Alligator mississippiensis: one gene and its partner. The protein of the gene in region 1 interacts with the protein of each later gene in a biochemical or structural test. Links are inferred from orthologs where the notes say so. Each region holds a gene or a part of one and is shown in the gene's direction. Other genes may lie near its edges.

Region 1 (8,058 bases):
TCCAGAATCTCTTTTGAGAGAGTGGTTGTACCTAATAAAAAAAACAAAAGTATGAAGTATGATGGGACCTTTCTATACGTGGTGGTAGCCTTTTCTGCTTCCCTGCATGAGCAGATATGGCCAAGAGGCAGACCCTCAGAACCTGATGTGAACTTTTTTTCAAAATGCCTCCCACCCTGCTATTTTGGATGTGAGATATGGCCTAGAGATGCAAAGCATCATGGGACTTTTGGAAACTGGCCAATGTGGCTTCCTACTCTCCGAACCCACTTTGGGAATGAACATGGCAAAGAGACGCAAAGCACTATTGGAACTCTTCAAATGGCCACTTCTACTTTCCCACCCAACCCCTGAGGGACTGGCCTGGCTATGAGGTGCAAAGCACCATGGGACTGTTTTCAAGATGGTGGCTGTGTTTTCCCCCACCTCAAGGGAACAGGTATGGCCAGCAGGTGCAAAGCACCATGGGACTGTGTTCAAGATGGTGGCTGCCTCTTTCCCCTCTCTTATTCCAGTTGATGTACTTTTAATCCATGCACATCCCATTAGACGTGGCAGTTTTGCGTAGCAATGTGTGACTTCCCAGTCCCCACGTGCGTGTCTGATCTCACAGTTGTATATCTCTGTCTGTGTGAGTGTGTGTGTGTATATGTACGTGTGTGTGTATATATATGTACACACATACACACCCACACATTATATATATCCGCACACACACATGCATATATATATATATATATAAATATATATATATATATTTACTTAAAACATTAAAAAGAGAAAAGGAAAAACAAGAAAGAGAGCTCTGGGGAAACACCCCAATGAAGTCCTCCATGCGCTCAGAACCCCGAACACACATTCTAATAATTTATATATAAAATATATATATGAAGCTCTTACAAACAAAATGAAACCCTTCCAGAAACGGACTCTGTGGTTTTCATTTAAGTGCCTGGGGGCCCTGGCAGCAAGCGAGGCACGCAGAGGCATGAAGGGCAGTGCCCCCTCTGCCCTGCCTGGCAGGAGGTGGAGTGAGCTGGTGATGAGGCACAGAGCCCCCTGTGGCGCCCTCCCCAGCACTAGGCCCGTGCTATTGATGGGGGCGCGTGAGTCCCCAGCTGCAAGGCCAGGCCAGAGAGGCCAGGAGCGTGCACCGCCGCACCTGGACTGGGAGGTAGGGGCAGGGGGCGGGGCCTCCAGCCAGTGCTGCCGAAACCTGCAGGGCGCGGACAGGCCGGGGGTGGAGCTTCGGGCCCCTGCTCCAATGGGAAGGCGGCTCATTTGCATGCCGGCGAACTCGCCCGAGCGCGGGCTGGAAGCCGAGCGCCGCGGCGCCAGCGAGGCGGGGGGGCGCGGGGAGCCGCCGCGGCGCTGCGGACATTTCCCGGGAGCGGCGGCTGCGTTTCAGGAGCCTTCCGCGAACCTGCGGAGTGGGTTTGCGACTCACAGCCGGAGTCACCCTAACCTGGGCGATACTCGGGCTGGGTGGGGGGTTCGGGGGGTTGTACACACTGGGCAGTGATTTCAGCTCTTTTAGTATTTGTCCAGCAGTCCCTCGCGTAGCGAGGGGCCCCAGCGCGTACAAAGGTAGTGGATTTTGGGAGGGGTTACGGCGCGGGGGCTTTATTGATCCGAGCGCTGTGCTCCGACCTGGCAGTGGCTCCTCCGCCCCTGCAGGCGGCGGTAGGTGCCTGAGGAGCCCGCGCCCTGCCTGCATGTCCAGCCTGCAGCGCCCCATGGCGGCCTCGGGCCCGGCCTCGGCGGCGCCGCTGAGCGCGGAGCAAGCCAAAGGTGAGCATCTCCCGTCCCCTCGCTCGGGGGCGGGCAGTGGCGGCGGGGCTGCTGGGTGCCGAGCCGCCCCCCACGCCTGTGCCCTGCCCGCAGTGGTGCTGGCCGAGGTGCTCAAGGCGTTCGGCGCCCCGGAGAACGCGCAGCGCCTGGATGAGGCGCGGGACAATGCCTGCAACGACATGGGCAAGATGCTGCAGTTCCTGCTGCCCGTGGCCACGCAGATCCAGCAGGACGTCATCAAAGCCTACGGCTTCAGCAGCGACGGGGAAGGTGGGGTCAGCCCCTGCCCGCTATCCCGCGTCACCAGGGGCACCCGGCTGCCGCTGGGCCTGGTGAATGGCGGCCTGGCAGAGGGCTGGCCCCTCAGCTCTGTCTCCCCCCACCCCCTTCTCTCTCTGTCTCTCAGGGGTCCTGAAGTTTGCCCGGCTGATAAAATCCTATGAATCTCAGGACCCAGAGATCGCCAGCATGTCTGGGAAGCTGAAAGCCATGTTCCTGCCACCCATGACGCTGCCTCCGCATGGGTCGGGGACAGGTGGGGTGGCAGCCTCATGAAGCTGGGACCCTGTCCAGCTCCAGCTGAGTATGAGGGCACTGGCTCCTGGCATCCCGGTCGGGCTGCGGTTGTCCAGCTGCAGGTGGGGCCCCAGGAGCCCCCAGTGCCTCGGAAGCTCAGAAGCTTCTTTGTGTGTCTGCGGCGTTGTGTTTTACGTGCCTGCATGAGACAGTGTGCTGCTTCTGCTTGTGAATAAAAGTTGTTTTAAGAGTGGTCCCATTGAGTCCCAGGGCTGTGTCCTAAGCTGTTTCCAATGGGTGATGATGAGGCAGAAGGGAGGTTTGCTTTCCTGCTCCTCCCTCAGCAGTCCTGCCCTGCTGTAGCTCTGCTGTGAGGGCATTCTGCCTGAGCCTGGTCCCAGGAAATGGAGAGGAGACAGCTCCCCCCCACGGTACAACCCTTCTGCCTGGGAGTAAAGACTTGGTACCTGGTGACTTTTGAAATAGAGTGCTATGGCTGCAGCACAAGGAATGCTTTTGTTCTGAGGGTAGAGCCAAGTGAAACCATTCAGGGGTGGAACAAGAAGTTCAGGGCTACGCGCCTAACCCCAGCCTGTCAAAGGGAAGGTGTGGGCACTGCAGCTCTGTATAGGCTAGGTTGTGTTAGAAGCAAATTAATAATCACTTAGCTATTTAACATGCTAGTGCAGACAGCACTTAACACAGTAAAGTGACACTATTGCTGAACGCAAGCGTTGAATGTGGTTCTAAATGTGTTAAGTTTCATAGATTTCATAGACATTAGGGCTGGAAGGGACCTCGGAAGATCATTGAGTCCAGCCCCCTGCCCAAAGGGCAGGAAGTCAGCTGGGGTCATAGGATCCCAGCAAGATAAGCATCCAGTTTGCTCTTGAAGGTGTTCAATGTAGGCGTTTGAACCACCTCCGGTGGCAGGCTGTTCCAGACCTTGGGGGCTTGGACAGTAAAGAAATTCTTCCTTATGTCCAGCCTGAAACGGTCTTGTAGTAGTTTATGACCGTTCAACCTAGTCGTCATCCCTTGGGGCGCTCTGGTGAACAAACGTTCCCCCACATACTGGTGGTCACTCCTGATAAACTTATAGGTGGCCATCAGATCACCTCTGAGCCTGCGCTTTTCCAGGCTAAAGAGCCCCAGGGCTCTCAGCCTGTCATCGTAGGGTCTGCTTCCCTGACCTCCGATCATGCGCGTGGCTGTTCTCTGGACTCTCTCAAGCTTCTCCACATCCTTTTTGAATTGTGGAGCCCAAAACTGGACGCAGTACTCCAGCTGTGGTCTCACTAAGGCCGAGTACAAGGGGAGAATGACATCCTGGGATTTGCTTGAGAAGCATCTATGGATGCAAGCCAGTGTTTTGGTCGCTTTACTAGCTGCAGCATCGCACTGCAGGCTCATGTTCATCTTGTGGTCAATGATGACCCCCAAGTCTCTTTCTTGCATAGTGTTAGCTAACATAGCACTGCCGAGCCTATAAGGATGCTACGGATTTTTCTTCCCAAGGTGGAGAACCTTGCATTTATCGGCGTTGAACACCATCAGATTCTCGTCCGCCCAGGTTTGACCTCATGAGATTCCCTTCCAGCCCTACTTTCTAATAAGATTCTAATGTGCCAGCAATGCAGAAGCATAAGATTACTAGGTGTAAATGACTGCAACTCAAAGTACTTTTCTGACCCTCATTTCAGGCTATTGCCACACAGCCATTACACCAGGGCCCAATCAAGTTTGGGCTGGCCAGATACACAGCAGCCAGGGCCTGCATGCCACACAGTTTGCAGGCCCTGGGCTGCACACCATACAGGCAGCATGCCCTGGGGGCCATGTGGGCACCTTGGGACCCCTGCCACATGAGCAATGCAAGTCTCCAGCTACTGCTGTGCCAGCTGCTCTGCTGCTGCCACCACATGGGCAAGAACCTCTGCCCCACAGCAGGGAATTCCCCCTTGCCAGAATCCAGCAGGCAGCATACTCCTTGCCATGCTGCCCTGCCCCAGAGAGTCCCACCAGCGTGGGAGGCATGTTAACCTCTCATGGGCCATCAACTGGACAGCTCTGTGCTGTTATGTTTCTTTAAAAGGTTAAAAGATCTAAAACTATGTTAGTTCAAATGTGTTGGTTAGAAGCTTCCTGAACTCAATTTATTCTTGTAACCTTTGCCCATGTTACAGGGGTCCACTGGCAGTGCACTGATGCCTACAGGGTAGCAGAAGATCTTATGCTGTAGCCAATGTTACCCTGCTGACATAGCCCTGGCATAGAGACAGAAGGCTGGGTGCAGAGGCGCTTAGTCCTGGTGGCCAGAAAAACTCCTGCAAGCAAAGCTGTATCTACACTAGGGGACCCTGTTGTTTTGTAGCTGCTGCTATACTTAATGTGTAGATCACGCCCTGGTGTAATGGCTAATGTGTGGCAATAGCCTGAAATGAGGGACAGAAAAGTACTTTGAGTTGCAATCGTTTACACCTAGTAATCTTATTCTTCTGCATTGCTGGCACATTAGAATCATATTAGAAAGTAGGGCTGGAAGGGAATCTCATGAGGTCATCTAATCCAGCCCCTTGCTCAAGGCAGGATCATCCTTGACTAAACATCCCAGCCAAGTGTCCATCTAACCTCTTAAAAATTTCCAGGGATGAAGATTCCACCGTTTCTCTAGGTAGCCTGTTACAATGCTTGACTACCCTCATAGTCAGAAAGTTCCTCCTCATCTTCAACCTAAATTTCCTCTGCTGCAGTTTGAGGTCTTTGCTCCTAGTTCTGTCCCCTACAGCCATAAAAAAGTCCATTGCCAGCCTTGTTAGGATCCCCTGTCAGGTATTTGAAGAATGTTATCAACCGCTCCCCTCACCCTTGACCCACAGTCTTCTCTTCTCCAGACTAAATAACCCTAACTCTTTCAGCCTTCCCTTATAAGGGCCTTGCCACACCTTATGGTGAGAGCTACACAAAGGTTGATCAGCATTAGTGCTAGCCTGGAGCTGTGACAAGAGGCCTGGTGAGCAGGGGCAGGACTAGGAGCTGTAGCTGTGAGCTGCCACAAGAGGGCTTGTGAGCCAGGGTAGGATTTTAATTCTGCTGTATGGGTAGGGGTATGAGAGATCCTGGGATACTGGAGGACTTCAGTTTGGGCAGCACATCTGTGGAGAGTGGCCACACCTTCATGGAACATTAATCCCATGAGGTTCAACAAGGACAAGTGCAAAGTCCTGCACTTTGGACAGAACAATCCCATTTACCAGCGCAGGCTGGGGGCTGACTGGCTGGGCAGCAGCTCTGCAGAAAAGGACCTGAGGGTTACAGTGGACAATAAGTTGAATATGAGCCAGCAGTGTGCCCTTGTTGCCAAGAAGGCTAACGACATACTGGGCTGCATTGGTAGGAGTGTTGCCAGTAGGTCAAGGGAAGTGTTTATTCCCCTCTATTCAGCACTGGTGAGGCTACAGCTGGAGTACTGTGTCCAGTTTTGGGCCCTCCACTACAGAAAGGACAAATTGGAGAGAGTGCAGCAGATAGAAACAAAAATGGTGAGGGGGCTGGGCACATGACTTATGAGGAAAGACTGGGGGAACTTGACTTATTTAGTTTAGAGGAGACTTAATAGCAGTCTTCAACTCCCTGAAGTAGGTTCAAAAGAGGATAGAGCTAGGCTGTTCTCAGCAGTGGCAGATAACAGAACAAGGAGCAACAGTCTCAAGTCACAACAATGATCACAGCAAGGGAAGTTTAGGTTAGATATTAGGAAGAATTTTCTCACTAGGAGGGTAGTAAAACACTGGAACAGGTTACCCAGAGAGGTGGTGGAAGCTCCATCCTTGGGAGTTTTAAAACCCGGCTAGACAAAGCCTTGGCTGGGATGATCTAGTTGGGGCTGGTCCTGCTTTGAGCAGGGAGTTGGACTAGGTGACCTTCTGAGGTCCCTTTCAACCTTCACCTTCTATGATTCTGTGATTCTAGGAGCTGGGTAGTGTGGATCAGAAATAATCCTGCCCTGGAGTGGCATAACTTTGAGCCACAAAACCGTGCTTAAAACCGCTTTAAGATGTTAACATGTGGGGACAACCCAGGGGTTAAGAGCTCCAGGAGCTGCCCAAATTACTGTGTAACAAGACCCTAAGTCATGTTTCTCAGGCCCTTGCTCATTTTTCTTATCCTGTGCTGCATGAACAATGCATGCTCCCCGTGGCGCGGGGGGGCACAGTGGCAGCAGCAGGAGCATGGCAGTGGTTAGCGGGAGAGCTCCTGCAGACGCTGCTGGTGCTGTCGGCAGTGGTGGCGGGGGAGGTGGCGAGTGCTGACCAGGGGTCGGCAACCACCCGCAGACGCCGCTGGCAGTGTTGGTGGCGGCCAGAGGGAATCACGGAGAGCTGCACCTTTTTGTAGGGGGTGCACCACCATGCTCAGGGGGTGCATGTGCATCTGTGTGCACCCCCTACGCATCACCCCTGCTGTGCTGGACTCTTTCTAAACTGTTCACATCTTTCTTGAAGCATTGGGCCCAGATCTAGAAGGCTTCAGCAGCACCAAACAGAACAGAGGAATCACTTCCCTTGATTTGCAAATAACACTCCTGTTAATACAACCTAGTAGGCTGTGATCTTTTTTGCAACAAGGGCACATCGTTGGCTCATGTTTAGTTTATAGTCCACTGTAACCCCCAGGCCCTTCTCAGCAGCACTGCAGTCTAGCCAGTCATTCCCCAGTCTGTATGTGCAATTATTCAGTCCAGTGGTGGCGCACACGGGGTGCACATGCACCCCCTGAGAGTGCTGGTGGACCCCCTGACAGGCCACATTCCCTGCTTAGGTGGCAGGCAGGGGGGCAGGTGGGAGCGCCAGTACCCCCCTGCAAGCACCACAGCCACTTCTGGGAGCACTTGATGAAGTGCCATGGCCACTCCTCCCCCCACCCCCGATGCCCCTAAGGTGGCACCAGTTGCCCATGATTCAGTCCTGGACACAGGACTTTGCACTTGTCCTTGCTGCATTTCATCTGATGTTGTTAATTTCCAACATTTAAAGTGAGGAAACAGCAAATGTCTTTGGACTCTTTTCAACCCTGGAATTCAAATGTGCACGTGAGCAGCTTTCAGTAGGGGTAGCTGCAGGTCAGGACTGGAGGCATAGGCAGAGCAGTGTTTGTGGAGGCCAGGACTGCAAGGGAAAAGAGTCAGAAGTCTGGTAAGTTCCCAGGTGATCAGAGCTATTCACTTTTGTTTTCTCTGCCTTTCAGTTACAAATAGTCAAGGAAGTACTTAGTGGAGAGGAAGCAGGAAGAGCAGATAGTTCCTCACCTCTTCACCTGCCCCCTCAGTTTAAGCCTGTTCTTCCCCTGCTCCCCATGCACCTCAATTATTCATTAACTACAAATCAGGAAGTGATTTACAGATGGTGGAAAGGAAGCCTCTTGCCCTGCACCTGCACCTGGCTGCCTGATCTTGGGTCTCCTCCTCCTGCTGCCCAACCCCCAACAACAGTGATCTATCCTCTGAGGACATCCAAGGCTGGTGAGGTAAGTTGATCACCAAGCCTTTCCTATCCAGATTAGAGGGCATTCAGTCAGGGAGCTTTTACCAGCCCCGGTCTAGAAATGTTAAGACTTTCCTTCCAGGGTCTATGGAATTAGCCATGCCAAGTGTTCCCCAGAGCCCTCAGAGGCTGCTCCTCTCTCTGGGTTTGTAGATCCTTTGGTCCTTCAGCTGCTTCCAGAGAGTTGTTAAAATGTCACTGATGCCTC
Region 2 (8,117 bases), on another chromosome or scaffold:
TCTGTTTCATAGTCCTGCAGACTGTTGTTAACTCTGCCTAAAAATTTTAACTCAGGTGGCAATATTAACTTCAGGGTAGACACGCCTGGCTGAAGTATTGAAGGCACAGTCAAGACTTTCAAGAAAGCTAGCATTTGTTTTATGAATCTAAGTGAGAGATGTACACTTAAGTGTAATGGCTGCAGGACTAATGCCACTCTATTTTGACTATGTTTTGCCTTGTATGCTTTCTGTATTTATTCAACTTTAAATATAATCTAGCAATTCAGTGCACGTTCCAATACTTATCTTTATTTTAATTTTTGCTTTGATCTTAAACTGAATAACTAAGCACTAGCCTAGCATGTCGGTAAAGCTTTGCATTTCTCTTTAACCGGAGAAAAATGTGTGTTGTGCTCTTTGGGATGACGTGCCACATCATCTGCACCACCCACCCTTTTCTAAATCCTGGATCCATCTGTTCTGCGTGAGTCTGTGTGTGTATGTTTATGTGTTTATGTATCTGTCTGTGTGTGTTTTTCTGCGTATGTGTACATGTCTGTGTGTGTTTATGTTTGCATATGTGTGTGTGTATGTTTGTGTATATGTATGTGTGTCTGTGTGTGTATTTTGTGTGCTTCAGGGGTATGGGTTATAGCCGTGTTGGTCTAAGGGTAGTTTCCTCAGCCTGATGGAAGGGTGTTTGTACATGAAAGCTTGCAAAGAAGATTTTTTTCCAACCATTTTAGTTGGTCTAATAAAAGATATTGGATTTACCCATAGAACCTCGTCTGTATTTTGTGTGCACGTTTACATTTGTATGTGTGTTTGTGTGGATTCATAGATTCATAGATTCATAGATGTTAGGGTCGGAAGGGACCTCAATAGATCATCGAGTCCGACCCCCTGCATAAGCAGGAAAGAGTGTTGGGTCTAGATGACCTCAGCTAGATGCTCATCTAACCTCCTCTTGAAGACCCCCAGGGTAGGGGAGAGCACCACCTCCCTTGGGAGCCCATTCCTCCCTGCCCACTCTAACTGTGAAGAAGTTCTTCCTAATGTGCAATCTAAATCTGCTCTCTGCTAGCTTGTGGCCATTATTTCTTGTAACCCCCGGGGGTGCCTTGGTGAATAAATACTCACTAATTCCCTTCTGTGCCCCCGTGATGAACTTACAGGCAGCCACAAGGTCGCCTCTCAACCTTCTCTTGCGGAGGCTGAAAGGATCCAGTTTCTCTAGTCTCTCCTCGTAGGGCTTGGTCTGCAGGCCCTTAACCATATGAGTGGCCCTTCTCTGGACCCTCTCCAGGTTATCCGCATCCCTCTTGAATTGCGGCTCCCAGAATTGCACGCAGTACTCCAACTGCGGTCTGACCAGCGCCCGATAGAGGGGAAGTATCACCTCCTTGGACCTATTCGTCATGCATCTGCTGATGCACGATAAAGTGCCATTGGCTTTTCTGATGGCTTTGTCACACTGCCGACTCATGTTCATCTTGGAGTCCACTAGGACTCCAAGATCCCTTTCCACTTCCGTGCTACTCAGGAGGTCATTCCCTAGGCTGTAGGTGTGCTGGACATTCTTCCTCCCTATGTGCAGCACTTTGCATTTCTCCTTGTTGAACTGCATTCTGTTGTTTTCTGCCCACTTGTCCAACCTGTCCAGATCTGCTTGCAGCTGTTCCCACATCTCCCCATAGCTTTGTGTCATCTGCAAACTTGGACAGAGTACATTTCACTCCCTCATCCAAGTCACTGATGAAGACATTAAAGAGTATCAGTCCAAGGACCGAGCCCTGCGGGATCCCACTGCCCACACCCTTCCAGGTCGAAACCGACCCATCCACCACGACTCTCTGGGTGCGACCCTCCAGCCAATTCGCCACCCACCCGACTGTGTAGTCATCCAAGTCACAGCCTCTTAACTTGTTCACCAGTATGGGGTGGGATACCGTATCGAAGGCCTTCCTGAAGTCTAAGTATACGACATCCACCGCTCCTCCTGTGTCCAGGCGTTTCGTAACCTGGTCATAAAAAGAAACTAGATTGGTCAGGCATGATCTGCCTGCCACGAACCCATGCTGATTTCCCCTCAGCATAATTTGTCCTGCCGGGCTCTCACAAATGTGAGCCTTGATAATTTTTTCAAAGACTTTGCCAAGGATGGAGGTGAGACTGACAGGTCTATAGTTGCCCGGGTCCTCCTTCCTCCCCTTTTTGAAAATGGGGACCACGTTGGCCCTTTTCCAGTCCTGCGGGACTTGGCCCGTGCGCCACGAGCTTTCAAATATTCCCGCCAGTGGCTCTGCAATGATGTCGGCCAGTGCCTTCAGCACCCTTGGATGGAGCTCATCCGGGCCTGCTGACTTAAAGGCATCCAGTTCTTCCAAATGACTCTGTACCATTTCAGGGTCTACGCATGGAAGTCTGGCGCCTTGCTGTTGCCTCTCTACAACCCCAGTGAGAGACTTGTCGTGCCCCTCACTTAGGAACACTGAGGCAAAGAACTCGCTGAGGAGTTCAGCTTTGTCCCCCCTGTCCGTCACCAATTGTTTCTGCCCATTTAGCAGGGGTCCTATTCCTCCCTGGGCCTTCCTTTTACTACCTATATATCTAAAAAACAATTTCTTGTTGTCTTTTACTTGGGATGCCATCCTCAGCTCCATGGTAGCTTTGGCCCGTCTAACTGCCTCCCTACAAGCGCAAGCAGAGGAGGTATATTCGTCTTTGGTGATCTCTCCCTGTTTCCACTTTTTATGTGCTCCCCTTTTGTCCCTTAGGCTGCCCTGGATTTCTCTGGTCAGCCAGGGAAGCCTCCTGGCCCCTTTCCCTCTTTTGCCTCGCTCGGGGATCGTCTTGCTTTGTGCCCGAAGGATCGTTTCCTTAAGGCACAGCCACCCTTCTTGGGCTCCCATCTCTTCAAATCTCCTACTCTGCAGTGCGTCCTTGACTAATCGCCTGAGTTCATTGAAATCAGCTTTCCTAAAGTCTAGCACTTTCACCCTACTAGTTACCTTACCCACTCGCCGTCTTATGGTGAATTCTATTATTAGGTGATCACTGTCCCCCAGATGGCTACCGATCTGGAGGTCCGCTATCATGTCATCTCCCGTTGCCAATACCAGATCCAGTATGGCATTCCCCCTAGTGGGACCATGTACCTCCTGAGTCAGGTGGAGGTCCTATACACAGGTTAGAAACCTGCGTGAGCGGTGGGACTTTGCTGTCTGTGACTCCCAGCAGATGTCAGGGTAGTTTAGGTCCCCCATGACTACTGCCTCTTTAGCTTTTATGGTCTCCGAGATTTGCCTCAGGAGCCCTGAATCTCTTTCTTCCCCTTGATGTGGGGGTCTGTAGCAGACCCCTACCACCAAATCTCTTTCTCCTTGCCCCCCATGTAGCCTAACCCACAATCCTTCTACTTCCTCAACCTCGGATTCTGTCTTGATGAGGGTCGATGTATATTGCTCATTGACATAGAGCACAACCCCTCCCCCTTTCTTCCCCACCCTGTCCTTTCTGTACAATCTATAGCCCTCAATATGTACCGCCCAGTCATGGGATGAATCCCACCAGGTTTCTGTTAGCCCTACTAAGTCAAGGTGTTTAGTGCAAGCAGGAGCACTAATTCATCCTGCTTGTTTCCCATGCTCCTAGCATTAGTATATAGGCACTTGAGCCCTGCGACTGGTGCCTTTGCTGCCCCCCCGCTCCGAGTCCCAAGGGGCCCTTTGATTCTTACCTTCTCGTTTCTTACCTGTGCCGTAGTGCTGGCCTCCCCATGGTTTTCAGGTTCCCAATGCTCTCTTTCTTCAGGCTGGGCTGTCCTTGTGGATGTATGCCTCTGTGTGTATGCTTATGTGTATATGTCTCTGTGTGTGTATGTATGTCTGTGTGTGCATTTATGTGTGTGTACATGTGTCTGTGGGTATTTATGTTTGTGTGTGTATGTGTGTATGTATGTGTACAGGCAGTCCTCAGACTTACGACATAATTGGTTCCTGAAAACTGCATCCTAAGTCGAAATGTTGTAACTCGGAACCGTTTTTCCCAAAGGAAACATTATAAACAGGGATTCGTTCCTCAGCCAAGGCCTGATACTCTGTTTTCACTAAAAATACCCCAAAATTTTGTACTTGATCAATTATAGATGAGTGATATAGCTACATTAATGTATTTATATTGTAAATAGCAATCAGATTGATTTGGAAGGACTTCTTTGAGGTGACTTTGCTGGACTTTTTGAAGGGTTCTTGGCTGGAGTCTTCTCAGGAGTCTTGGCTGCAGGTTTTTCTGGAGTCTTGTCTGCTTTCCTAAAGAAAGTGTCCAAGGAAGTTTGGACAGATGTTCTCCAGGGAGATGGATGACGCAGCAAACTGGTTCACTGATGTGGCATCGAGTTGGATCAAGCATTGTAAAGTCAAAACTGACATCAGAAAATTGAAACAGGGTGTCAATTTATAAATGTTGTCAGTGCAAAACGTGGTAACTCGAAACATTGCAAGTCGAGGACTGCCTGTATGTCTGTGTGTATATGTGCGGTGTGTGAGTGTATATGTAGATGTGTGTATGTATATGCATGTGTGTATGTATGTGCATGCGTGTGTATATGTGTCTGTATGTGTTTGTGTATGCATGTGTGTTTGTGTATGTAGATGTGTGTATGTATGCGTTTCTGTGTACGCATGTGTGTGGTTGTATGTGTACATGCGTGTATGTATGTGTACGCATGTGTGTAAGTATGTGTGTGTCCAATGTGCGTGTTTGTGTGTATGTATGTGCATGTGTTTGTGTGTATATGGGTATGTTATTGTGCATATGTGTGCGTCTGTGTGCGCACAGGTCCGTGCGCGAGTCCCTGGCACGCTTCTCCCGGCGCGCCCAGGACGCAGGCAGCACCCCGGGGTGCCGCCACCCCCGGCGCCGCAGCCCCGCGCCCTTCCGCAGGCCGGGGCCTGGCCGGACCGTGCCCAGGAGGAAGTGTGCGAGCCGCCGCCCGCCTGGAGGAAGTGGCCGCGGCTGCGAAACTAGGAAGCCGCGGCTCCCGGCGCCCTGAGCGCGGGGTCGGGACGCAGCGGCAGGATCCTCGCCGAGCCCCGCGCCCGCCTCAGCCGAGCCCGCGTCGGACACTCCCGCGCCCCGCGCCCAGGTAAGAGCGGGGCAGGGGGAAGCAGGGAGCGCCAACCCCCAGAGCATTGTGGAGGGCCGGGCGGGCTCCCCGCTGCACCCAAACCCATGCCGGCGGCTCGGGGGAGACCTGGGCTCCTCCAGACAGCCGGGCCGGTTCATTCGTGCCGCTCCCCGCCCCGCCCAGGGCTCCTTGAGGGGACTCTGCCCAGCCCTCCCCATGTCCTGAGGTGTGCGTCGCTTGTCTAGAGGGAAAGGCATCTAAAACTCTTGAGAAAGAGGTGATATGTTTTATTAGACTAACTAGAGAGCTGCAAAAACAATTTTTTTTTCATGCTCTGGCCACACACCAGGGACCCCCAATGGCAACATTGCAGCCGCTCTCTCTTTCTCCCTCCCCCAAGCCTCTCAGAGGGTTCAGCGCCCTTCGGAGGCACCATTTCAGTGCCTGTCGCCCACCAAACTTGCCAAAGTCCCTCCATGATGCCGCCAATTCTGACCCTCCGCCACAGATACACCTCCAAGTCACCTACCCTCCAAGTCTGCCTTCTGCCCAGCTTCAGGCTTCCTACCCTCTCAACAAGCCTTGCACCCCATTATTTTTCAGGTAACATTTGAGGGGAAAAAATGTTGGGAAAATAATAGGGAGAGAATCCACAGGGATCCTTCGACCAAATCAAAACCGTACGGTGATTCAGCGAACGCAGTAGTGACATTGGGACAAGCGAACAGGCCAAAACCACATGAGATGAAGTCCATGGAGAAGGAGATGCAGGTTAGGAAGGCACACGCAAAAACAGAAAATGCACCCATGGGTTTGAAAACAAAACACTTTAAAAAGCTGTTTTGAAACTCTGGGCAATGAAATGAGCATGGAAGCAAATGAGTGCATCTGTCCTCTCTGCAAACAAAACAAGGTTCAGAGCTTGCAGGGGTGAGGGGTGATTGCAATGTGCCGGTTAGCTCCCTTGAAGCCTAACAAAAGGTCATTAGTTACATTTTGTTTCTTTTTCTTTCTTTTTTTTTAGCAAACTTCCTTAATTTTTTTCCAAGAAAGACTAGAATAGTGTTAGAGGTGACGAAACACATTAGATACAAGAGGCCTAAATCACTATACATACATATATATATATATATATATATATATATATAAACAAATTTTGGTAACACCTTTGATAGAGAGCCTTATGCTGACATCAAACAAGGAGTGACACCAGGAAGAGCACACACCAACTGCTGCAGCTTCCTTAGCCTGACGAAGGGTTTTTGAACCCGAAAGCTTGCTTAATAACTATTCTCCAACCATTTGGGTCGGTCTAATAAAAGATATCAAATTCACCCAAGGAACCTTGTCTGCCTATGTCCTTAGACCAACAAGGCTACAACCCGAACCCCTGCAATGTTATTTCAGGACACTTGAGCATGGTGACATCATCTTTTGGGCCCAGCCTAGCAGTGCTTCTTAGACACAGCTTGTACTGACTCCACTGGGAATAAGATCAAGCCCAATGTCATATTCCTTAATTAGGCTACTTATAGGTAGATTTTTTTTTAAAGAAAAAAACTACCACTTGTAAGATTATATTTTTCCCCTCATTCAAGGAGCCATTTACATGATCATTTGTAATTGGGGTTAGTAATCTTTATTTTGGGCATTCTCCCACAAGCCATACACAGAACACTTGTATGTTCTGGACCTTTGGGGCCTGATTTTGTGATGTGGCCATTAGAGCAGACCCCATAGTCAGCTCAAGCTCTGAAATAAAGGGCCAGAAACTGTTGCAGCCCAAAAGCACTTTTAGCGGGTACTTTTACAGGAACTGTAACAACTTCTCCTTCTCAGCCCTTTGTTGAGCTTGAGACCGATAAAGACAGAAATAAGGAAGTTTGAGACATCAGTATATTTATATTTTGACGGTTTTCTTCGGGGGGGAGAGGGGAGTGGCTTGGAGAGAAGCCTTATGAATATTTAAAACAACTTGGAATAAAAGATTTAAAACCAGTTTAGGTTTATCAAAATTGCTGAACTAATTAAAATAAATATCTACCGCAGTTTTGAACTGAGTTGGAAGAACTTCTAAAATCCCAAATTGTACTTCATAAACCTTTCAGGCTTTGTTTTTCCTAAAATAGTAGTAATGTCCATGAAATCAAAGAGGTAAATAGATATTCTCTGTTACCTTTCTATTTTCTAGCCGTTGTGGTTCTGTTGATGTAGCTGAATTAAAAATTTGATCTAATGTCTTGAAAAACCAACTGAAAGTTATTTTGGGGAACAGCTAGCAGGTGTTTTTAAAAAGTTACTCTGGTCCCAAAATAACTTTTTTTTTTAAGACTGGTATGTAAAGTTTCACTTGAAAAAAGTTTAAACGTGTAAATTGAATAACACGAGAGTTACATGGACAGTTTTTAATCCCATCTTTTTTTCTTTCGATTTGCTATATAAGTGGTCCAAGCTTTCAAAGTCTGTGGCCAAACTGTCGTTGAAGTCAAAGGGATCATGCTCTTCATTTTTAAAGGGGAGATTACATTTCCTTTTCTTTCCTAACACTCGCACAATATCCTGTACTGAGACTAGGACCTTTGCAGAGGTATGAAGCAATCAGCAGGGAGGAACATACTGGATTTCATTTATGTTCTAAAATGTTATACTTTTATTTCATTTGTCTTCATTTGCTTTAAAGTCCTGATTCAAAATCTGAAGACATTGGAAAGACTAACATTGATTTCATGAGGATTTGGTTTGCAAAGGACAGGTGGACTGTCTAGCTCAAATTCTCCCTTGCCTTTCACTTATTCAAGCCACAATAATTGACAGCTTTGGCCCTTTGTATATAAATAAACAGTAATGGAAATTTAGACCCATTTCTTTTCTCTCCTCTAATGAAACATGGCAAAGAACAGCTCTTTATGGTGAAGGATTTTACTGAAACCCTTTATGCACTAAAATGCTGTGCAACTTTGGGGCCAAAGCAGCCACACTTCTCAAGTTTGAGTCTTAAATGCCTTTC

What was found.
Region 2: of the proteins of PTPN6 (region 1) and SYK, one has a biochemical effect on the other in vitro, tested with the Homo sapiens proteins (2 studies listed by BioGRID). The link is inferred for Alligator mississippiensis from reciprocal best matches to the Homo sapiens genes PTPN6 and SYK.

Annotation. Positions count from the first base shown.
Region 1 is NC_081824.1:244,116,834-244,124,891, forward strand, and holds the start of PTPN6 (tyrosine-protein phosphatase non-receptor type 6), read left to right. Parts: upstream 1-4,847; 5' UTR 4,848-7,833; intron 7,834-8,058. Other genes in the region: C1H12orf57 (protein C10), read left to right, coding at 1,286-1,430, 1,678-1,791, 1,885-2,061, 2,198-2,346. UniProt on the Homo sapiens protein: Tyrosine phosphatase enzyme that plays important roles in controlling immune signaling pathways and fundamental physiological processes such as hematopoiesis.
Region 2 is NC_081826.1:212,111,921-212,120,037, forward strand, and holds the start of SYK (tyrosine-protein kinase SYK), read left to right. Parts: upstream 1-4,964; 5' UTR 4,965-5,128; intron 5,129-8,117. UniProt on the Homo sapiens protein: Non-receptor tyrosine kinase which mediates signal transduction downstream of a variety of transmembrane receptors including classical immunoreceptors like the B-cell receptor (BCR).